Arabidopsis thaliana: one gene and its partner. The protein of the gene in region 1 interacts with the protein of each later gene in a pairwise test. Each region holds a gene or a part of one and is shown on either strand. Other genes may lie near its edges.

Evidence for each region. Proteins that work in one complex are often made in the same cells at the same time.
Region 2: the proteins of AT5G38620 (region 1) and AGL52 interact in a two-hybrid assay, tested with the Arabidopsis thaliana proteins (one large-scale study listed by BioGRID).

What each region holds. Positions count from the first base shown.
Region 1 is NC_003076.8:15,463,337-15,467,044, forward strand, and holds AT5G38620 (MADS-box transcription factor family protein), read right to left. Parts: upstream 1,572-3,708; coding exon 522-1,571; downstream 1-521. Other genes in the region: CYB-1 (cytochrome B561-1), read left to right, coding at 2,805-2,951, 3,178-3,226, 3,583-3,708.
Region 2 is NC_003075.7:6,847,639-6,851,211, reverse strand, and holds AGL52 (AGAMOUS-like 52), read right to left. Parts: upstream 1,635-3,573; coding exon 645-1,634; downstream 1-644. Other genes in the region: TOPP7 (Calcineurin-like metallo-phosphoesterase superfamily protein), read right to left, coding at 2,180-2,197, 2,281-2,493, 2,670-3,229.

The sequences.
Region 1 (3,708 bases):
TGAACATAATCTAGCTTTGATCACTTTGTATCATGTTGATCTTGGTCCCCACTCTGAGACTTTAAGAATGAAACAGAGGAACCTGAAGTTTATTCAGTGGCAATTTCTTTGTAGAATGTGTAAATGATACAATTGCATACCAGTTGGTTAACTCTATGTATATAATCGAAATTTCACCTGATTCTCTTATCATACTCATTGGTTAGCTACCAATTTTGCCATAAATTAAAGACATTTCCTTTTTTTTTATCCGATTAAGATTTATAAAAAGACATGAGTTTGTTGGACTTAAAACTACAAATACAAAACATAGAAACAGAACACAAATATTATCATTAAACCAAACTGATGAAGCAGAGAACCAGTTTGAGTTCGATCAATTTCCCTCATACATATATGGAAAACTGATCGAGGTCAAACCAGATCATTCATTACATTGCTAGAACAAATAAATCTCTAATAGAATCAATACATACAGATAACAAAGAGAAGTTGATTTGAAAACTGCAGAGAGATTATCTTCAAACTGCTGCAATAGTGTTTGCAAAGTCATTGAAACAATCAGAGAATCGTAGATTATCTCCATCCAAACATCTCTGAAACACCAAATCTGCATCTTCAAGGCTTTGAAAATAAGAAAACGGATTTGTATCCACCGAGACTTGATCATCAACACCAACATCGTTCAAAATACTTGCACTAGTCGTCTCCTGATGAGTAGTGTTGTCCGAAAACCAATCATCTATCGAGCTTTCAAAAGGGGTGTTGAAGTCAATGAGTTGATCAATAGCCATGTCTTGATTGTAATATAGGTTAACTTCAGGTAAAGCAGCGTTGTTGTTGTTGTTGTTGTTATTATCCGTAACACAAAAAGTTTCACAAATCGAGAGAATCTGATCTTGTTCTTCAGTGATTTCATTGAAAATTTCAGGTGATTTATCAGGGACGCAACAGATTGCAGAACTACTGGACTGAATATCTAGGGTTTGATTTGGCTCTTGAGTAATATCGTTGAGATTTTCAGGGATGCAACAAACTGCAGAAGCGGACTGAAAAATTAGGGTTTGATCTTGAGTTCCGTGAACATCGCTCTTCTCATTCTTCTTCAAGTCCTTGTGATCGTTAACGCAAGCTTCATCCGCACGCAACTCCTTGAGATTACTCAACAGAGTCCACATGGAACCGATCGCTTCACTAATCTCTTGAGGATTCTCCGATCTCACAAGGCTCTCGTCATTCCACCAAAACCCTAACCCTAGATTCTTGCGAGTCAAACAGATACCAACGTCCTCCCTCGTCTCTTTGTTATCCTTCGGAGCCGAAACAGGACGTTTTCCGGAGAGAAAAGCAGAGACAACGGCATCAACAGAGGAGTGACCGAAAGAGTAGAAAGAGACGTCGGATTCAGAAGAAGGAGGAGTCGCTAAGATAGCGATTTGTGCGTCGGAGAGAAGACAAAGCTGAGAGGCTTTGCTATAGAGACCTTTACGGCGTTTGGTGCAGGTAACCCTAAGGGAATCTCTCTTCTGTATCGTCTCAATCGCAATCTTTCTCTTCGTGCCTTTCACCATTCTGATTGATTTTTTTCTCAATTTTCAGATAATTGAAGTGAAGGCTTCTTCTATCTCTCAGTCTCATATATATAAGGGACTATCGAATCTCATATGAAAAAGGAAATATCGAAACCCCATATCATCCTCCTTAACCGATTAAACCACATGGACCGTAATATGGGCTAAGCCTAACCATCCACCAGAATCCCCTTTTTTTTTTTTTTTTCATCCTTTCTTATTTGCTTATGTACAAGCATAACATTATTGATGATAAATTATTCAAAGATGGACAAGAATAGATATATAATTTCAACTATGCTCTATGGACCTTCGCCACACAAAAACAAAAAAAAACAAAAAAAGAATTACCTAAGACTCTTTTTAATAGTTTAAAAACAAAATTTATAAAATAACTAAATTTTGCCTCCAAATTATTTATATTACTATTAATTTTATAAACAAATTTAGTATTTATTTATTAGTGTAGTATTTAATTAGAACGTTAGATAATTTATTTATTTTTATTTTGATAATTTTTAGTTATTTTCTTATCATTCATATTTATTTAGCGATATTTTTAGTTATTTTGTTTTATAATTATTTTCTTAGATTCTACAAAAAAAAAATTGTCAGATTATTATGAGAGACACAAACAAATATATAGTTGGTTCTTCACATTATCGTGTTTATTCTTTCTAATCACAAGATCAACAATGTAGTATCACTCTTAAAATGTGATTATGAAGTTAACAAAGCTTACATGGTAGCAGAAGAAAACATTGTTAACGACCGGAAGACTTACACTTTGCCACACTTTCTTTATTTTTCATAACAAAGAGATACTTTTGGAGAATTTCATCTTTTTTACTATTCAATATTAATCAATACTGTTTTGCCTCTGAAATAAAAATCTATGGGTGTGTGTCATTGTAATTCTCTCAAAATAAAAATAAAAATAGGCAAAGTAGACATAAACAAAAGATCTTTACTCTAATCAGTTTTGTGAGTGACACAAAGCTCCATTTTTTTACCCTTAAATCAAATTACTAATAATAATTAAAAAATCTTATAAAAATAATATTTCTGGCAAATCACTCTGGTTGACCTCAAACTCAAAGTCGAGTAATTGCCGATCTAAAACACAGGGGGTGATTCAGAAATCCCCAAAATTCGACTAAAAACTAAAACCCTAGCCCTAATTCATCCTGATTTTGATCGCCGTATAAAAGACTCGCATTTTCTGGGCTTAGTATGGCGGTTCCGGTGCTGGGTGGATTTCCGATCTTCATGGTAGTGAGAGTTTTGGGTTTCATCATCGCGGCTTTGGTTTTGACATGGACTGTTCATTACAGAGGAGGCTTAGCTCTTTCTTCTGATAACAAAGATCACATCTTTAATGTAATTCTCTCGATTGTTGTTTTGACTCACATGTGAAATGGATTGGATGAAATGTTCTTGTTGCTGTATCTGAGATTCATATTTCTTGATTGTGTTGTTGAGATATTGAAATTTGGATTTTACTTTTCTGTGTGATCACAAGCTATGATCTGAGACTCATATTTGGATGTATAATGTCATCATTGGTAGATATATATCTGATGATGTCAAATGTCTTTGTTTTTAGGTTCATCCAGTGATGATGGTGATTGGACTCATACTCTTCAATGGAGAAGGTAAGCAAACAATCTCCTTCACATGTTAAGAGTTTGTAGTATATTACCGTCTTAACTTCATATTTTAGACTTCAAATTTGTAGTATATTACCGTCTGGCGACTATTCTAATGTCAAGAGGTTTTAGTATTCGTTGTATCGGTTTTCATGTTCGATTTCCGCATACTTCATTTGTCAAAGAGACTGAACTGTTGAATTGCCCTTTTTAACATTTGAGTACATTGAAATTTTATGTCAAGAGGTTTAGGACTCATAGGATTAGTTTTTTTTGTTTTTAGTTACGGCATTGTTAATTCGGTAAAGAGACCATGGACATGTTTTCGTTTCTAACATGAACGGTACCTTCAACTTATGCAGCTATGTTAGCATATAAGTCAGTTCAAGGTACAAAGAACTTGAAAAAACTGGTTCATCTTACACTACAACTCACAGCATTTATTCTAAGCCTGATCGGAGTGTGGGCTGCTCTCAAGTTCCATATTG
Region 2 (3,573 bases), on another chromosome or scaffold:
ATCTATATAGTGAGACAGTATTTTCACCTTTGGGGTTCCTGGTCTAGGAACACTGTTGTTGAATCCAAATCTTTCTTTCTTCTCAAATGCCTTAAGGATTTGAAATGAACATGTTAAGCTATCATCAACACTCATCAATGCACCAGCATTGTCAAACTCGCCACAGTAATTGGGTGCAGAGAATTTGTCTTCACGAAATCAGAGCTACTTTCCATCTTCATGTATATATTAGCTGATTCAGACAAGAAGGATACTAAGTTACAAGTTTGTTATAAGATGCAAGAGTAAAGGATTTCACTTTGCAGGTTGTATCAACCAATTGAAACAGTCTTGTCACCATAAGTGATTTTAGATTATAATTTGTTTCATGCAAGTTTTTGTGAAAGACTTTTATGGAAGTTCATATATATATATATATATATATATATAATACTAACTGAAATACCAACTTAAAAGTAAAAACAAAATCTCCACAAATGGATCTGTTTTACAGTTATAACAACACTGTAAAATAAAAAAAGACAGTAGCAGGAAGAATTCAGAAGCAAAAACAGCTTCAATCTCTCTCTGATCAGCTTCCTACTTATAAGTATTGACTGACTCTTAATGAAGCTTCAAAAAACAAATCCTTTTGGACAGATTTGTTAGCAGAGAAGTCTTGAGTTGTCAGAAAAACAATAGCTGTTAGGAATGTTGTGGAGAGGTGGCAGAGAAGATGTCTGTAGCAAACTGCTCCCATCATAGCTCGAAAACATATCTTGAGAGAAGCTAGTGTTACCATAAGGGAATTCATGTGGAACAGTGTTTGAGAGATTAGGATGTTGTAAACCGTTGTTGTTATTGATGATTTCACTCATCATACACAAGTTCTGATCAAAACCATGAAGCTGATCCTGTTGCTGCATCAAGTGATTATTCAACCCGTAGTTATTCGCCGAAAGTAACGGTGAGTAGTCTTGTGTGTTTGACACGCCAGGATGTTGAAAGTTGTTGTTGTTGGTGATGTTGTCCAAACACATGTTCTGACCAAAACCATGCTGCATCTGGTAATTGATGAGTTGATTGGATTGTGAAGCAGACAGTGGGAGTTGTGAGAGAGTAGCATCTCCATGGTTGTACATATACAGCGAGAACTTGCTAGGATCCAAGTGTTGTGTCTGGTTCAGATACGATGGTGTTAAACTCTGATGCACCAAGTTTGTGTTCTGTTTTTTCTGCGACTCAACAATACGAAGCCTTTTTTGGAGAGTAGAAAGTGTTCGTTCTAAGGACTGAATCAATTGAGAGAGTTGTTGAGGAGAGTAATGATCAAAGTTTGGATACCAATTAGGGTTCTTCACATAATTCGTCTTCCCCTTATACTTGTCTTTGTCCTTCACCTTCTCTTTCTCGAGGAACTCATGAAGATTGAGGCACTTCTTGCGTTTTCTGTCCTCTTTATACCTCAAAGCCATATTTTTCACTGTCTCTCTATCCTTAGGCCATGTTCTCAGATCACCGTCTGGTCCGTAATAGATGACGCAAACGTCAATAGCACAGAGAATCGAAAGCTCTTCTGCTTTCTTAAAGATTGTTTTAAGTCTGTTTGTTAAACTTGTTGGATTACATGACGAAGAAGAAGAAGCTTGCTTCATCGTGATTTTGCCTTGATTCGCCAAGCAAGAAACTAGGGTTTTTTTTTTCTCCGACAGAGAGATAACACACAAAGAAGAAGCAGAATTGTGGAATTGATGGTGAAAGATTGTGAAACTTCACTCAATATGTTTATATAGATTGCCTTGGTGCCTACGGGAACAAGCATACGCGTCGGCGACGCGTGAAGAAGATAAAAGCAGTATCTATCCTCAAATCTAGGTTACCTCTTCTCTTATTATTTAGCTTATAGTATATATTACGTCAAATAAGATAATTGTTTTTCAAGTTTCATTTTATTATTTTTATAAATTTTACGTTTATGTTTTTAGAATATGTTTCTAAAAGGTTAGTTGTATAAAACCCAACTTTCTTCAGTTGAAAATGCTGTGAACATCTTCCACAATTTTTACAAAAAAAATCTAAACAAAACATAATGTTGCCTCAACCATAAGAAAACAGATAACAATCTAACAAAACAAACTGTTTGCCTTACAAAATTCGAACCCGTCGGTTTCACTCGTTTCTTGAACCCATCGACGACGAGTTAACGACCTTTTCCACCCTGCAAGAATGTTAACATATCAAACCTGATATCTAACATCTACCTACATTGCATCTATATACAGGGGGATAGTATTTTCACACCTTATGAGGTGGGGTTCCTGGTCTAGGAACATTGTTGTTGAATCCAAATCTTCCTTTCTTCTCAGATGCCTTAAGGATTTGGAATGAACATGTTAAGCTATCATCAACACTCATCAATGCACCAGCATTGTCAAACTCGCCACAGTAATTGGGTGCAGAGAATATTGTCACTAGTTGTCTCTTTGCAAAGAACTCGTATCCATCTTCTACAACCTGCAGGAACAGTATAGTTAAGTAAAACTTGGCTTGGTGAAAAAACTACAGATCCTTGCATTAACAACTGAGTTATGATTTCTTAACCCTCTGAATTCAGAGAACAGTCACAGAGAAGAACAAACCAATCCAGAGAAATCAAAAGAGAGAACTCAAGGAATAAATTTTAGCTTTACCTGATGAGCTCGGCATATAAGATCAAGGTCATGAGTTTGAAGGAACTCAGCTACTTTGTCAGCCCCAAATGTATAAGAGACACCTCTGTCATTCTCCCCCCAGCCTTGAATCTCTCTGTCAGGATCAGCCCACAACAAATCACAAAGAATGCCCTGATCAGGAACGTCAATAGGACGAGGAATTCTCCTGATGTCATCTAAGCTCTTAATATCAGGCGATAGTCCACCATGCATGCAGAGGATCTTATCATCAATGAGAGCAGAAACAGGCAGACAGTTGAAGCACTCGGTGAATGTTTTCCATAAGCGAACATTATATCTTCTTTTGCATTCATCGTAGAATCCATATACACGGTTGATTGAAGCACATTCGTGATTGCCTCTGAGAAGAAAGAAGTTGAACTTGTATTTGACCTTATAGGCAAGAAGAAGGCATATCGTCTCTATGCTCTGCTTACCACGATCAACATAATCCCCAAGAAACAAGTAGTTCGCAGCTGGTGGATAACCACCATACTCAAACAACCGCAAGAGGTCTGGAAACTGACCATGAACATCTCCTGCTCATCAACATATAAACTTAAAACCATCAACAAAATTACAAATCATACAGTTATGATAGCAACAGAAGGGTTTAATATCTATCATACACCAAATTCAGCAACTAAACAAAACTATTAGCTATCAAATGAAGTAATAAGTCAAGCGAGATACCAACAACTGCTTATGCAACAGAGCTAAGGGACCATGGTTCCTCAAAGACACAAAAGTAAGAGGTCACTACTCACAATTCCGCAAGAAACACTAACTTAAAGTGGCAGAGCATTTAACTAATTCACAACATACACATCTTCAACCATTTCAATGTACACTTATATCCCAAAAATCTAAGCTTTAAGCTTCC